2 linked regions of the Callithrix jacchus genome follow. The protein of the gene in region 2 interacts with the protein of the main gene of each other region in a biochemical or structural test. Links are inferred from orthologs where the notes say so. Each region holds a gene or a part of one and is shown on either strand. Other genes may lie near its edges.

The links.
Region 1: of the proteins of DYRK1B (region 2) and HNF1A, one has a biochemical effect on the other in vitro, tested with the Homo sapiens proteins (2 studies listed by IntAct, with this or other methods). The link is inferred for Callithrix jacchus from reciprocal best matches to the Homo sapiens genes DYRK1B and HNF1A.

What each region holds. Positions count from the first base shown.
Region 1 is NC_133510.1:124,133,240-124,142,121, forward strand, and holds the end of HNF1A (hepatocyte nuclear factor 1-alpha), read left to right. Parts: coding exon 1-162; intron 163-2,113; coding exon 2,114-2,265; intron 2,266-2,400; coding exon 2,401-2,602; intron 2,603-3,376; coding exon 3,377-3,568; intron 3,569-5,543; coding exon 5,544-5,665; intron 5,666-5,754; coding exon 5,755-5,899; intron 5,900-7,338; coding exon 7,339-7,466; 3' UTR 7,467-8,713; downstream 8,714-8,882. UniProt on the Homo sapiens protein: Transcriptional activator that regulates the tissue specific expression of multiple genes, especially in pancreatic islet cells and in liver. Binds to the inverted palindrome 5'-GTTAATNATTAAC-3'.
Region 2 is NC_133523.1:35,101,700-35,109,833, reverse strand, and holds the end of DYRK1B (dual specificity tyrosine-phosphorylation-regulated kinase 1B), read right to left. Parts: intron 8,072-8,134; coding exon 7,924-8,071; intron 6,731-7,923; coding exon 6,444-6,730; intron 5,828-6,443; coding exon 5,681-5,827; intron 5,597-5,680; coding exon 5,456-5,596; intron 5,157-5,455; coding exon 4,841-5,156; intron 4,443-4,840; coding exon 4,336-4,442; intron 4,250-4,335; coding exon 3,878-4,249; 3' UTR 3,513-3,877; downstream 1-3,512.

The sequences.
Region 1 (8,882 bases), on a different chromosome or scaffold from region 2:
ACAACTGGTTTGCCAACCGGCGCAAAGAAGAAGCCTTCCGGCACAAGCTGGCCATGGACACATATAGTGGGCCCCCACCAGGGCCAGGCCCGGGACCTGCGCTGCCTGCTCATAGCTCCCCTGGCCTGCCCCCACCCGCCCTCTCCCCCAGTAAGGTCCACGGTGAGTGGTATGTGGGAACAGGGGACGTGTGGGTAGGTGGGCGGGTTGGGGAGTGACAGCACTCACCTAAACCTCTTAGCACTTCTGCTGGGTTCCATTCCATTCCATTCCCGCCACTCCTTATCACTCCACTTCACTCTGTCCCTTCATCCCTTCTGCTCTATCTCCATTCCATTCACTCTACTCCTTTCCACTCTCTTCACTCCATCCCACTCCACTCCACCCACTACAATTAACCCCATTCCATTCACACCACTCTCCATTCACTCCATTCACTTCCACTCCATTCCATCTATACCATTCCCCACCGCTCTATTCACATACTCCATCCAACTTCATTCCACCAACTCTATCAACTCCACTCCATCCATTCCATCCAACTTCATTCCATCCACTAAATTAGCCCCATTCCATTCACTCTACTCCATTCAATTCCACTCCATTCCATCTACTCCATCGACTCCACTCCATCCATTCCATCCAACTTCATTCCATCAACTCCATTCAACACCACTCCATCCAGCACTCCATCCACTCCATACTCCACTGTCCACTCAACTCTATCCACTTCATTCAACTCCACTCCATCTACTACATTCAACTCTACTCTATTCACTCCATACTCTATTCCATCCACTCCATTTAGCGCGACTCCATCACTTCATTCAATGCCACTCCATCCACTCCACTCCACCCATTCCATCCACTCCACTCCACCCATTACATCCACTGCACTCCATCCAACTCCATTAGATTCCACTGCATCCACTCCACCCAACTGACTCCACCCACTCTACCCACTCTTCCTCCACTCCTCTCTACTCCATAACGGTTTATTCTAATTGTCCAACCACTCATCTCCATCCACTCCACTCCACATGACTCTACATTTCATCCATTCCACTCTACTCCATTCCCTCCACTCTATTCACATACTCCATCCATTCCACTCTACTCCATCCCCTCCACTCTACTCCATCCCCTCCACTCCACCCACTCACTCCACTCTACTCCATCCCCTCCACTCTATTCACAAACTCCATCCATTCCACTCTACTCCATCCCCTCCACTCCACCCACTCCATCCCCTCCACTCCACCCACTCACTCCACTCTACTCCATCCCTTCCACTCTATTCACAAACTCCATCCATTCCACTCTACTCCATCCCCTCCACTCCACCCACTCCATCCCCTCCACTCTACTCCATCCCCTCCACTCTATTCACAAACTCCATCCATTCCACTCTACTCCATCCCCTCCACTCCACCCACTCCATCCCCTCCACTCCACCCACTCACTCCACTCTACTCCGTCCCTTCCACTCTATTCACAAACTCCATCCATTCCACTCTACTCCATCCCCTCCATGCTAGCCACTCCATTCATTCCAGTCCACACCCCGCTATTCCTCACCATTCCATCCACTCTACCCTACACCATTCCACCTCACTCTATTCCTCCCCACCCATCCTCTCCACCCTTTACCACTCCAGTGGACCCATTCCACTTGATTCCCCTCATTCCATTCAGTTCCATCTATTGTACTCCACACCATCCACTCTACTTTTTATGATTCCACTCAATTCAGCCTAACTTGATTTGGGTTACTTCAATTCATTCATTTCAGATTGTATCAATTCATTTCAATTCAACTAAATTCAGTTAAATTCAGTTTAGTTGTCTTTTACGGAGCATCTACCGCATGTAGAGGCATAGCACCAGGCAGTGGGGGAGAATGGAGCTAATAAATGCAGTCTCAGCCTTCAAGGAACTGGGAGCAGCTGACCCAGGGCTTGGCACAAGGAAGAAGCACAGGCAGTTTGCTGGCTGCATACAGACAGACAGGCAGCTGGCCTAAGCACACCGATGCCGTTAGAAGTGAGGTGGGCTAGGGGGCAGGGGAGGGCCGGGAAGTGGGTGCGGGGGCTGGACACTGTTTCTCCTCCAGGTGTGCGCTATGGACAGCCTGCAACCAGTGAGACTGCAGAAGTGCCCTCAAGTAGCGGTGGTCCCTTAGTGACAGTGTCTACACCCCTGCACCAAGTGTCCCCCACGGGCCTGGAGCCCAGCCACAGCCTCCTGAGCACGGAAGCCAAGCTGGTGAGTGTCCCTGCCTGTAGGAAAAATCCAGCCTCATCTTTCCTTGGCAGGGAGATTCCCGAGCAGTCCCAAGGGAGGCCCTGTGGGGATGGGATGCTGCCCCAGCCCCCAACTCAGGTCAGCTTCCCCTTGTAGGTCTCGGCAACTGGGGGCCCACTCCCCCCTGTCAGCACCCTGACAGCACTGCACAGCTTGGAGCAGACATCCCCAGGCCTCAACCAGCAGCCCCAGAACCTCATCATGGCCTCACTTCCTGGGGTCATGACCATTGGGCCTGGTGAGCCCGCCTCCCTGGGTCCCACGTTCACCAACACAGGTGCCTCCACCCTGGTCATTGGTAAGCTGGTGGGGACGGGTGGGCACCTGGGTGGGAGGCTCATGGGGCAACTGCAGGATCCAGGAGCTGGAAGAGCCAGTGGGACTCATTCATTCATTCATTCAACATGTATCTACCCAGTGCCTACTCTGGACCAGGCACTGTACTACGTCAGTGATACCTGATTGAACCAAACAGACCAAAATCTCAGCAACTCAAGTGGGGAGGCAGGCAGAAGGCCTAATACATCAATTCTGTGGCTCCTCAGGTGAAGGGTCTATGCAAATTACAGCAGGGTAAGGGGACTGATTTTTTTTTTTAATATCGTTTAGCATTATGTTTTCCTCTTTTATCACAAATCCTCTGCAGGCTAGAGGATTTGTCTTTGAAGTTTTTTGTTTTATGAAGAAAAATTAGGCCCAGAAAGCCTTTATTTGCAGGTACAATTATGCAGAAGCCCAGAACATATAGATAGGGAGCTGCTGAGAGAGGGGAGCAGAGAGCTAACTCCAGGGCCTTGGCGCTCCAGGGAACCCCAGTTTGATGATTTTTGAACAAGTCACTGACTGCCTCTCCCACTAGCCGAGATAAGGAGCTAAAGGCTCAGACAGGGGGAATGACTTGCCAGGGCCACTTAAATTAGTGGCAGGTCCCAGTGGAGGGCTGTTTCCTGACCACCCTGCCCCCTCCTCCAACCCATGGGTTCTGGGAGGGAGAGGTGGTGCCCCTAGGAGGCCTAGGGGTGGGTGGGATATAACTGGGGGGCCTAGCTGATTCCCACTGCTTCCACTCCAGGCCTGGCCTCCACTCAGGCACAGAGTGTGCCAGTCATCAACAGCATGGGCAGCAGCCTGACCACCCTGCAGCCTGTCCAGTTCTCCCAGCCACTGCACCCCTCCTACCAGCAACCACTCATGCCACCCGTGCAGAGCCACATGACCCAGAGCCCCTTCATGGCCACCATGGCCCAGCTGCAGAACCCCCACGGTGAGCCCCCTGTACCCCACGCAGGGGGAAATGATGACAGAGGTTGGCTGTCAATGGATACAGGGGAAGGGGGTGCCTGGCAGGGATTGTGGTCCAAGTGTGTCTCTGGGACAAGTGTGTTTCTGTGATTGAGGGTGCCTGCAGGCCAGTGTGTTCCCATGTTCATGTGTGTATCTGTGTGTGTGTGTGCATGTCTGTGTGGGCACATCCCTATTGCGTGTCTGGGTGTTTATCAGCTATGCATGCCCATGTTTCTCTGAAATTCTTAGGGCCATATCGATTTCAGAATCTACTATTCAGATTTTAGAAAGGTAATGTGGGGCCATTGTGGTAACTCACGCCTGTAATCCCAGCACCTTGGGAGGCCAAAGCTGGTGGATCACTTGAGATCAGGAGTTTGAGACCAGCCTGGCCAACATGGTGAAACCCCATCTCTACTAAAAATACAAAAATTAATCAGGTGTGGAAGCACGTGCCTGTAGTCCCAACTACTCGGGAGGCTGAGGCAGGAGAATCACCTGAACCCGGGAGGCAGAGGTTGCAGTGAGCTGAGATTGCCCCACTGCACTCCAGCCTGGGCAACAGAGCAAGACTCTGTCTCCAAAATACAATAAAAAAAAAGGCTCACACCTGTAATCCCAACACTTTGGAAGGTGGATCAGCCTGGGCAACAGAGCAAGACTCTGTCAAAAAAAAAAAAAAAAAAAAAAAAAGGCCTCACGAAGGCTCACACCTGTAATCCCATCCAAGGAGGGCAGATCACCTGAGGTAAGGAGTTCAAGACCAGCCTGGCCAAGATGGTGAAACCCCGTCTCTACTCCAGCCTGGTAGTATAGGGCGAGACTCCATCTCAAAAAAAAAAAAAAATAGTAATTTGGTGACTATGCCAGCTATCACGTAACACTCCCAGCAGGGTTTGGGACAGACCCTGTGATCCAAGCGCTGCTATTTCTGCAGCCAAAGGCAGGATTTCCACAAAGCAGGTTCAATACACACATAACCTCATGTCAAGTTCAGGTTGGGTTTGCCACCAAATGAGCTCTAGTGCCAATCTTAAGGACATCTTTTGGTTTCAAAACCTTTTTGGAATTTGGAACTGGGTTAAGAGGTTTTGGACCTGTATATTTCTTTGTGTGTGCATGGTTGAGAGTGTATGTATTTAAGTGCATTATGTTTTTATCTGAGTCACTGTGAGAATATGTGGTTTATGTGTGTTTTGCTAGTGTCTGTGTGCCTCTTGTGGGGTCTGTGTGTCTCCTTTGGGGTGGGTGGGGGTGCTGTAGGCAAGATATGGGTTATATTTGGAGAGGTGGGCTGGGGATGGAGGTACTGCTGTCCTCTGCCTTGTTCTTTGACAGGGGCCACCTGCCTTTCTTCTAAACGACACCAGCATCTGCACTTAGTACATAGACCTTGTCTTTAGTGCATAGCACCTGTGTTTAGTATAGTAGCACCTGCGCTTAGTGCATAGCGCCTGTATTTAGTAGGGTAACACCTGTGCCTAGTACATAGCACCTGTGTTTAGTACAGTAGCACCTGTGCTTAGTACATAGCACCTGTGTTTAGTACAGTAGCACCTGCGCTTAGTGCATAGCACCTGTATTTAGTAGGGTAACATCTGTGCTTAGTACATAGTGCCTGCATTTAGTACAGTAGCACCTGCACCCACACCTCCCGTTCCCTTTCATACCTGCTGTCTCCAGGTGACAAGAGTAGCTGGAGTTGGTTCCTAACCGCCTCCAGGCTCCCTCGCATCAATCCCAGCTGAGCAGGCCCCTGTAATGGGGAGAGGGTCTGTCCCTCTATCTGGAGCCCCCAGTTTTGATAATCAGCCCTGAATCTCCAACCCAGACCCAGTCTGGCCGTTCAGCAAGGCCCCAAGCCCCTCTTTCCCCAGTCTTGAGGCCTGGGTCGGGGGCTGTCAGGGGCTGTCAGGCACGCCTGCCATGTCTGCCCCTCTCTCCCCTGCGGCCAGCCCTCTACAGCCACAAGCCCGAGGTAGCCCAGTACACGCACACGGGCCTGCTCCCGCAGACCATGCTCATCACCGACACCACCAACCTGAGCGCCCTGGCCAGCCTCACGCCCACCAAGCAGGTAAGGCCTAGTCTGCCGCTCTCCCTCGCCTGAGCCAGAGCCCTCACCGCCACACCCCAGGGGCTCAGGAGTCTGCTCTGCTCCCCCAGGTCTTCACCTCAGACACCGAGGCCTCCAGTGAGTCCGGGCTTCACACGCCAGCCTCTCAGGCTACCACCCTTCACGTCCCCAGCCAGGATCCTGCTGGCATTCAGCACCTGCAGCCCGCCCACCGGCTCAGCGCCAGCCCCACAAGTAAGAGGCCCTGGCCCCGCCCCATCCCTTGATGGCCCCGCCCCTTCCGTGTTGGTCCCGCCCCTTTCGTTGTCGTCCCCCGTCGCTGTGGGGCAGTGCATGCAGTAAGCCTAGGGCTTCGGCGAGGAAGCCCCCGCAGGCATGGGGGGTGGGGTGGGGTTCCCGCCTCCCAGACACGGCCTGTGCGCCCATGAAGCCCAAAATGCACGGCGACCCCAGGAAGATGGGCCCACCTCACAGGAACATCTCAGGGACTAAGTTGAGGAAAAAGGTGAAGTCATTGTTAGAGGCAGCGGCGGAGGATGATAAGGACCAGGTCTGTGAGCCAGAAGCAACTCTTTCACGCTTTTGGTTTGGCTTGGCTCAGGGTTGAACATTCTTTGAAATTTGTTGCCAACATTTCAAAATCGTGAATTTTCACATAGAAATCCGGATTTCCAGCATCTTTTGGAAAACTGGAAAAATTCATATTCCCACATAACAGCTCACCAGGCCCCACTACATCCACTCACATTGGCTCGGAGTTTGTAATCTATGATGTCATTGTCAGGAGTGGGCATTTGGAGTCAGGTGGCTGGCTCTGCACCTGCCTTTATGCCAAGTTGCCCCTTTCTCTAAGGTTCTTGGCCCCAACCCTGGCAGCCATCATGACAGCCACTGAAGGCATTCTGTGTCCTGGCTCCATGCTTCACCTCGGGAGGCGTGTGCACAATCACCCCCATTTTACCGATGAGAACATGGACACTTAAGGAGGGGAGGGACTTGCCTCGTCTCCCACAGCTACCAGACAGCAGGGCCAGGACTCGAACCCAGGTCCAACCTCAAAGCCCATTCTCTTAACCATTTCCATTAGTCAGGTTTCTCCAGAAACCCAGAACCAATAGACTGACTTGAAGGACTTGGCTGGAGACTGTGGGGACTGCCTAACCTGAAATCTGTTGCTGGGAACTTCCTCGAGAGAGAGTTCTGCAGCCTTGAGGCAGAATTCTTTCTTCTCTGGAAACCCATTTTTGCTCTTATGGCCTTCTGCTGATGGAGGAGGCCCACCCATATTTTCAGGGTAAACTCCTTTACCGCAAAGCCAACCGGTTGTGGCGTTAACCACATCTACAAAGCACCTGCATTCACAACAGCAGTTAGATGAGCGTTTGACTCAGCCTCACCAAGCCAACATGTTTACAGCTGCCTGCCCCGGCATCTCACTGGGGCTTCTCCAGCGTTCCCACTAAGGTGTACTGAGGCCACTCCCTGGGCAGCCCCAGAGCCTGGCTGGGAGGCTCCCCTTGTTAAGAACTGAGAGTAGAGGTTTGACTTTGGGGTTCCTGTTATCTGCTGTGATCCAGGAGGTGTGGCCCTGCCTCCTTGTCCCAAGTGTTCTGGGGCAGGAGGGGTGGGTCAGGGTGGCTGTGTGCGGCCAGCAGCCTCGTTTGCCTCCACAGTGTCCTCCAGCAGCCTGGTGCTGTACCAGAGCTCAGACTCCAGCAATGGCCACAGCCACCTGCTACCGTCCAACCACAGCGTCATCGAGACCTTCATCTCCACGCAGATGGCCTCTTCCTCCCAGTAACCACGGCACCTGGGCCCTGGAGCCTGTACTGCCTGACTGGGGGCAATGAGGGCAGCAGCCAGCCCTGCCTGGAGGACCTGAGCCAGCCGGGCTCCTGCTGCTCTTCCTGGAAAGCTGCGCCTCGCTCCCTGCTTTGCTGTGACGCATCAGAAAGGGAGGGCTCTGAGGCGCCCCAACCTGCAGAGGGCTGCTCGGGTTGCACACAAGGGGGCCATGGAGAGCGTGAGCAGAGTCTGTTCCTGGCAGATGGAAGGACTGTCCCTGCTGTTTGGGATATGAAGGGGGCAGCCTGTGACTTGGGCATCCCCAGCCTGGGCCTGTGGAGAGCCCTGGGACACCTACACCACTCTGGCAGCCACACTTCTCAGGACACAGGCTTGTGTAGCTGTGACGTGCTGAGCTCTGAGCGGTCCTGGGTCAGTGTGGCCTTGTTCTGTCACCTATGCACCCACAGGGCCACTCCCTCCCGCCCCCACTCCTTCCAGCTAGGGACACACATGCCCTTTGTACTGATCCCGTTATCTACTCACATAGGCATTTCCTGGGTGGCTACTCTGTGCCAGGGCATGGGGCTCCAATGCCCACGCCCAGGGGGGCTGAAGCTAACAGGGAAGGTAGGCAGGGTCTCCCAGCTTCCCTGGTCCCCAGCGATTCCCTCTCCCGGGCCCCAGGACCTCCATCTTTCCTGGCTATCAGTTCCCAAAAGCATCACACCCCCGAGGCCAACCCGGCCTCCTGCCTCTATGAGGAAGGCCGCTTCAGAGCTAGGAGGTCGTCCTTACTCCTGTGGGAGCCTTGTGACCCGTGCCAAGTCCAGGTCCTGTGGGGCAGACCCTGCCCTTGTCTGGGGAGAAGCTGCTGAGCTCAGAAGGTAGCAAAGCCCAAGCAGCTGGCCAGGCTGAGGTGCCCAGGAGAAGAAAGAGGCGACCCAGGGCAGAGGAGCTGCCTGTGTGGACAGGACTAAGCTCAGGAGCTCAGGGCCCTGGCTGGCTGAGGGCATTTCGCAGCCACCAGAGGAGTCCAAGGTCCTGAGCACCACCAGGAGGGACACAGGAGCCTGTGAAGCCCGGGCAAGCATGGCCCCATGTCTCTGCGCCTGCTGCTGAGAACCTGGTCTTTGGAGCGCCACCACCACCCTGGGATTCAGAAGGCCTGGGCGACCCGGCACCCCTGCAGCTTGTAGCCAGCCGGGGCGAGCGGCAGATTTATTTAACTTTTAGTAAAGCCAAGGAGAAATGTGGTGGAAACATCTTGCTTGTCCACAAATCATTCGGGGGGGAGTTTGGGCAGGCAGAGGGAGGTGGAGGCAGGCCAGGGGCCTGCAAAGACGAGACGGGCGCCAGCACCCACACTCTCACACCCATTGCTGCTTTTCTGGCTCTGCTGAGACTCTGATGATGAAGCCAGATTTTACCC
Region 2 (8,134 bases):
TATTCTGTTGGTTAAAACAAACCTCAGGGCCAGCTCAGATATAAGGGGAAGGAAGGAGACTCCACCTCTTGATAGGAAAAACAGCAAAAACCGTGTGGCTGTCTTTCATCGCAGGATTTTAATCTCACACTAACAGCCTCGACACTGGTCTCCCTGCTTCAATCCTTAATTCCTTTTAGTCAATTCTCCACGGAGCAGCCAGAGGAATCTTAAAATACACTTTAGTCTGAAGAATTTTCGAGGGAAATACACACACACACACACACCCTGACCATGCTCCCATCCCCAGCTTAAAATTTTACAATTTCCCACTACATAAGGGGTAAACACCCAAACTCCTTATGGCATCCACAAGATCTAACCTCTTGCTCTGCATCAGCCTCAGGTCTCCAACCGACACAAACTCTTATCTCTTAAAGAAGCTAATGCCTACTCCTTCATCACCACAAACCCGTTTCCTAGGGTCCGGATCTGATTTCCCATCAAGTGTTCTTATAGCACTCTCTACCTTCTTCGTAATTTCACACGTGATTATTTGATGGTCTGAACTACCATCCCCGTTACTGTAGGTTCTATGGGGGTAGGGAAAGCATTTTGTTCTCGGCTGTGTTCCCTATGCTGAGTAGAAAAAAGAGGTGAGGTGAAATACTTGCTGAATGTCTTGAGCCCCCAGAAAACTTTAAGGCAGCCCCTTTGAGTTCTGTAGAAAGGGGATCAGTAGTCTCCAGCATGCTGGGATCCAGATGTGTGCTGTTCAATAGTTTATTTGATAAGTAGTTACTGAGTCCTGTGTTCCAAGAACTTTTCTCTGTGTTGGAGATAACAGAGGAAGTAGACAAAAGCCACTGCCCTCACAAAGTCAACAGTCTCCTAGAGGTAGGGGTCAGGGGAGACAGACAATAAACATAAACACAGACAAATTCTAGAGTGTTAAACAGTAATATGATTAATGCTAAGGATAAAGTGAAAGAGCAAAGATAGATGTGACTATTAGTGGTACCATTTTAGAAGGGTGGTGAGGGAAGACCTCAGGAAGGCAGCGGCATCTCAGGGGATACCTAAAGAGGAAGGAGCGAGTCTGGGCTATTTGGTAGATGAGTTCCTCAGGTAAAGAGAAGACTAAGCGCAAAGGCCCTGGGGCCAGTGCACTTGGAGCAGAGGGAGTAAGGAGAGATGATGTCAGAGGCGTGATGAGGGCAGACAATGCAGAGCCTTGCAGAGGACTCTGGTTTTTACCCTGAGTGAGAGGAACCTCAGAAGGGTTCCGAGCAGGTGAGGAATATGACCTGATACAGGTGCTCACAGCATCCCTCTACCTGCACGTGAGAAACACTCTGGGGGCAGGTAAGAGCAGGGAGGTCACTGAGGAGGCTGCCATCATGGTCTGGGAAGGAGATAAGGGAGGACAGGGTGAAGGTGGGGAGAAGTGGTCAGGTTCTGGGTATTTGCTGACAGACATGGATCAAAGAGAGAGAGAGGAGTCCAGGACAACTGCAGTGGTTTGGGCCTGGAGAGGGTGGAGGGAACATATTGAGATGAACATGGGGGGAATAAATTCTGGGGAAAGGAGCAGGAGCTCAATTCTACCAAAATTATTCTGAAGATACCACTAGATTATCAACAGGTGTCAAGTAGGCCGTCGGTCAGGAGCTCAGAGGAGAGATTCTGGATGGATATAGAAATGTGACATATGCATTTCTATGCCTCCCTACAAATTCCTCACAAGACTTACCTGATCTGGCCCTGCTAATGTCTCCTTAGTAAGTCAATGGTATACACACATACATACACACACACACACACACACACACACACACACACACCTGAGCCCTCCTCTTCCTAGATATTGGTAATGGTCAAGTTTCCTAATCTTTTCCATCCTAGGTATCATTTACGAATGGGAGAGTACATCAGCACCTGACTCCTAGGATTGTTCATTCAAGACATCAGTTACTGAGCATCTGCTCTAAGCGCTCGAGATACCTCGAGATATCTTTTCCCATCCCTCTGTCTCCCCCTCCCAAACAGCCTGTCACCCTTCTCGTCATCTCTCCTATCTCCTCTTGCCCTCCCTACGGTGGCCTCTGCCCTGATCCGTTTCCAACATCTCTTGCCTAGGAATCTGCCAAAGCTGCCACCCTGGGTTCCCGAACCTGTCATTTTCCCGTTAATCTATTCTCATGTCACAACGAACCGGGCCGTGGTCCTTCCCAACTAAAAATCCTCCTATGGCTCTTCATTGCCCTCAGGACAAAATCCAAGCTCCCTAAAAGGTCAAGAAACTTCCACATCTCATATGAATTTTCAGCATGCACATCAACACCAGATCACCTGCAGCCCGTGTTCACACAACAGTCTGTTTCTCACTGCCTTTGCACAAACCATTCCACCACACCGCCCCCGACGCCCAAAACATCCGTCTTCAGTCTCAGCTCAGACAGCTCCTAGTCTTCGGGGATGATCCTCCTACCAGTGCCTCCTCGGGTTCCCACCGTGTTCTACGGCGCCTCCATTAGTGAACATACAGAGGTCCGCAACGGGATCCTTGCCTGTCTCTTCCACTGAGTGGGGCCTCCCGCAAGCCGGACCAGACACAGCGGCCAGTGATGTCCGCGTGCTAGGGCCAATTCAGGCCTCGGCGTCTACCGCCTGCTCCGGAACCATGAGAGACAACCTGCACGCTCTCCTGGTACGGTGCTGCGCCCACCTTACACACGCCTCAAGACCTCCGCCTCCTAAACACCATAACATCCGGGCCCCGGCTACCTCAGACCGCCCATTGGCCACCTGTAAACCCGCCCCAAGTGTGTGAGTGAAAAGAACTCTGGTTGTTGCAGTCCCCACGACAAAAAACCCAGAAAGCGATGGCTACGTAGAACTCCATTTCCCATGAAGCACCGTGCCCAAGTGGTGAGAGACGGTACCCTTTGAACTGGACAGTTCTTGATTGGCCAGTTGGGAGGTGTACATCTCCAAATTACCACGGAAACAGGACCACTTACCTGAAACCCCGGGAAAATCTTTTTGCTTCCGATCTCAAAACGCTTTGTTTCGCCGTGACTCCAAACGGTTGGACCATAGGCATATGGGGGCAGAACCTGTACCTATTGTCTGCCTATTCCCCAGATAGCGCCAGCAAAGCCCGCTAAGTGCACTGAGAGGCTACTGGACGCCTGCTTGGCATGAAAAGCCACTTCTGTGCTGAGTCTGCAGAAGCTCCGGCTTATTAGGGCACCTGTTTCCCAGAGACAGGCCAGAGCTGAACCGTTACCCTTTCAGCGTCTGTTTGCCCCGGAAAAGACAAATGTAGGCCAGGATCCTAACCACAATCTAAGATGCTGGTGCCCCAGACCTGCAGCCCCATGCCTGCCCCAAGAGCCACAGCTTCCCCACAAAGAGATGTCTTCACACCACAGAGCTCCTCCAGCACCCCCTCCCCAAATCCCCTTCCCCACCATGGCTCTGAGGATCGGGTGAGGGAAGCCGAGGCCCTGCAAACGCTCAGGCAGGCATGTGAGAAAGCTCTTTACTGGGAGTACAGCGAGGAGGAGCAAGGCCATCTCCCCCTACCTGCCCCCACCCCCTCCTAGGGTCCTGGGGTAAGGGGGGGGTCTTCCCTCCACCGGACCACCACTGTCTTTGGTACAATAAATAGAAAAAAAGGGGGAGAGGGGGCCAAGGGTCCAGTCCATAGTGGGGAGGGAGTGACCAAACCCCTCTCCTTGACCCCCTGCCCCAGGCCCCAATCAGTGCAGGCCTCACCCACCCCAGCTGGGTAGCAGCAATTCCAGTCAAGGAGAGAGATGAGGATGGGAGCCCAGGGCCCCCAGATGGGGGGGGGTATGGCTTCAGGAGGGGCCCCAGGGAGGGGGCAGGGTCATGAGCTGGCTGCCGTGCTCTGGGGTACACCACGGAGGCCCAGGTGAGGCCCTAGAGTGGCAGGGTCATCAGGAGGCGGGAGGGGTGGACGACCTCCCGTCATCCGAGTCCGGAGGGCTGAGGCAGCCGGGTGCTGGGGGGCAGGCGCTGGGTGAGGTGGGGAGCAGTCAGCAGGGCCGCCCACCAGGCTCACATCCATCAGCTCCGGGGGTGGTGGTGAGGTTGGTGATGGGGGACGGCCAAGGTATCGGGGCTGGGGGGGTAACTGGGCCCCAGTCCCAGGCAGTGACGAGGCAGAGGCAGAGGCTTGATGCGTCTTGTGTAGCACATCACCCCCTGCCCAGGGCCGCAGCGGCTGGGATGGTGGGACCTAAAAAAGCAAAGGAGCCATGGGTGATGGAGACCCGGGTCCTTAAGCCCCAGGTACCCCATCGCCCACCTTCAAAGCCCCAGTACCTGGGGACTGTTCATCTCACAGTCAGTGATAGGGGGCCCAGGGCCCCCACAATATCGGTTGCTGTAGCGGTAGGTCCGGTTGTCACTGGAGGAGCCACTGGAGCCTCCTGGAAGTGCCAGGGAGGAGAGGGGAAGGGGCATAATGTGAGGGAAGGTAGTGAGTGGGTTTTGGGATGACTGAGTACAGCTCAGGGCCCACGCTCAGGTTTAGGCTTCGAGATCAGAGCCCACTTGAAGAACCAGGACCGATTTTGAGATTTGGGGCTGGAATTCAGTTTGGGGTTTTAGAGTCAAAACCAGTTTCAAGGTTGAGCCCGAGCCCAAGCCCAATTTCAGATTATGTCAGGACCAGTCACAGCTCTCCCACCCTACATGTCATCTTAGAGTTTAGGATCAGGCAGCTTCAGAGCTTGTGTGAATGCCCAGTAACAAGGTCACCCAGGACAGGCCAAACCTGAGCAGCCCCTACCCCTGTTGTACCCCATTTGGGCACCTGGGCACCCACCAGAACTGGAGATGGAGCTGGCGGTGCTGGAAGAGGGGCAGGTGTCGAGGGGTGCGGGCGAGGTGGAGGCACTGCTGCCTGCCGGGCCCGTGTTGGTGGCCTCGTCGGCCGTGCGGCGGAAGAAGCCGTGCTGCAGAGCCCCGAGTGGGCTGATGCGGGCGGCAGGCTCATACTCCAGCATGCGCAGCACCAGGTCCTGGAAGCGGAGGTAGTCGGCGGGGCTGTGGCCCGGCTCCCCCGCCCGCCGGCCCCCGGGCCCGCCCGTCTGCACGCCCAGCACCTCCTGCAGCCGCCGTGTCCCGGGGCCCTGGTAATCCTGGCAGGGAGGGGGTGGGAGGGGGGGCAAGAGAGTGGCCGTCAGTGGGCAGGAGGGGCAGGAAGACACACACGGGGAAACAGAGGCACAAGAGAGAAAGTGGAAAGAGAGAAGCTAAGAAGAGCTGTGGGGTGGGAAGGAGAGGGGGAGATGGGGTGGGCAGGGGAGGAAGGAAAGGACAGACAAAGGGGAGAGGAAGGAAGGGAAAGACACAAGGGAGAGGGAGCAGGGGAGAGAGCCCCAAGTGTGAGTGAGGGGCCAGCGGGGTGGGAGGAAGTGGCATGGGGCAGGGGCCGCACCTTCCTGAGTTCTTTTGTCCTTCGTAGGGTCCAGCCACCCCCAGGCAGCCGTTCAAAGTACTTGCGAGCCTTGGGCGCCTGGTCCAGCATGGCGGCCGGCGGGATGCCCAGCACTTCCACAATGCGGTTCATCTGGTCCACCTGTGAACAGGCAAGGGTCAGAGTCATCAGGCAGGCCAGGCTCCACCCCCTCCACCTCCAGCACACCCCTTCCTGGGTGCACACCTCATTGGAGCCACTGAAGAGGGGCTCTCCGGTGTGCATTTCCACAAGGATGCAGCCCAGGGACCACATGTCAATGGCCAGGTCGTAGGGTGTGCCCAGGAGCACCTCAGGCGAGCGGTAGAAGCGGCTCTGGATATACTGGTAGATCTGGGGAAAGGGCAATCGTCAAGGGTCCCAGCCTCCCTTACTGGTCCCACTGACATCCCCAAAGCTGAGGACCCAACAGAGGATAGGCCTCTTGCTGCCAAACTGGGGACTGAGGCTCCAAATCCTGCCATTGTGAGCACCAATTTTCTGGGAGCCAATCTTCTTTACCAGCCTGGGGAGTCTGCTGGCCTAGACAGACCTTGATCTCCACCCCCAACCCTGACCCTGGGCCCTTCTGGATCACCAGGCAAAGGCTGACATTCCATAAGCCCTTTCATCAGCAGCTCACATGGAGCTGCAAAGTTGAAGCCTTCCACCTCCATCCCCAGCTTTAAGAACACAGGATACAAAAACTTATCCAAGCAGCCCCCCTGGCTCTAACCCAACCCAACTTCACCCTGCTCACATCTGGCAGCTTCAAAATGGGCCCTGTCCCCTCAGGCTTCACTCTTCCCATCGTAGCTGGCAGTATACCCCCACCCCCACCCCAAGCACTATCCTACTTCCAGCAGCTCCTAATAATCCCATCCCAGCCTAGCCCCGCCCCTAAGCCTCCCCACTGGCCCTGCCCCACCCAAATCACAAGCCCTGCCCCCAGGACAGGGCCAACCCATACCCTCTGGCCAAGCTGGCAGGAGCTGCCAAAGTCCACGATCTTGATGGCACTGCGCTTGGGGTTGCAGAGCAAGATGTTTTCAGGCTTGAGGTCGCAATGAATGATGCTGAGCTCAGGCGTGGCCAGAAAGAGCAGGGCCGTACAGAGCTGCTGCGCCAGCTTCCGAGTTAGGTTCAGCGAGACGCCACGGAAGTGGGTGTTGCGCAGGAGGTCGTACAGGTTGTAGGACAGCAGCTCAAACACCAGGCACAGGTGGTTCCGGAACATGAAGTGCCGCTTCAGGTGCACTGTGAGGGAAGGGAGGAAATGGGTCAACAGAGAAGAAACGGCTCAGAGAGGGCAGGTGGTGGCCTGGGGTCACATGATGTTCTTAGAGGACCAGCCACATTGTGCTGTGCCCATGGGTACCATCTGCCAGTCACGATCTCTTTATCTAACAACTAGATTCACAAAGGAAGTTAGTTCTCTTTCCAAGTCTCTATGAAACCTTCCAATTACCAAAGAGAGTTTCGCTACACTTCCTCGTTTCGTTTCCTAACACTGCTCTCATCTCGGTTGTATTCATTTTTGTGGCAAAGGAGATTGGTTTTCCATTTACTTTAAGAATGTATGTTTTCCTTTCAAACAAAACAATTTTAAAATCTACTTGCTGCTTATGATTATGCTATGTGATGTTTATGTCCACGAGGAGGAAATCAGTTTAAGAGAAAAGACTGGCATAGATAGATGTTAAGAGTAACAGCTCTGGAGTCCACGGCCTCATTAAATCATACAGCTCAATGAGTACAAACTGCCACCTCATGCAAGTGATAGCACTTGAATGCCTGGGTTCCTTTTTTTCTTTCTTCACTTTTTTTTTGAGACAGAGTCCCGCACTTTCGCCAGGCCTGGAGTGCAGTGGTGTGATATCAGCTCACTGCAACTTCCACCTCCCAGGTTCAAGCAATTCCCCTGCCTCAGCCTCCCAAGTAGCTGGGACTACAAGGGCACACCACCACGCCCAGCTAATGGTTTTGTATTTTTAGTAGAGACAGGGTTCCACCATGTTGATCAGGATGTTCTTGATCTCTTGACCTCGTGGTCCTCCTACCTTGGCCTCCCAAAGTGTTGGGATTACAGGCATGAGGCACTGCACCTGCCATTTTTTTTTTTTTTTTTTAATTTAAGAACTAGAATGGAAGCCCAGGTTTCTTACCTTCAAGATGTGGGCAATAATGCCTTTCCCCTTATGGGCTGTGGTGAGTTAACTTACATAAAGTGCTTCTAAGAGAGCCTGGCCCTTGGTGAGCACTCAGTAACCTCTGATCATGAGCAAGTAAATAGGACAACAATGATCAAAGCAGCAGGAGAATCACTGATGTCAGTGAAGCACAGACCAAACCCTGCTCTGAAGACACCAGCTTCCTCCTGAGGGTGGGCCAGGAGGGTGACCCATCCCTACCAGCTCCAGCTTCCGCTATCCCAGGTGCCCAGGCCTCACCTATGTAGTACTTCATCTCCGTGTCATGCTGGTTCATCAGCTCCAGCAGCCGCAGCTCAATCTGGGCCTGGTTCAGAAAGGCCTTTTTGTTCTTGATGATCTTGATAGCCACGAGTTCCTGGGTCTGATGGTCATAAGCTTTCACCACCTGTTGGGGAAGGGCGTGTCACAAAGGAAGGGGTGGGGGCAGGACAGAGCCAAGCACCATTCT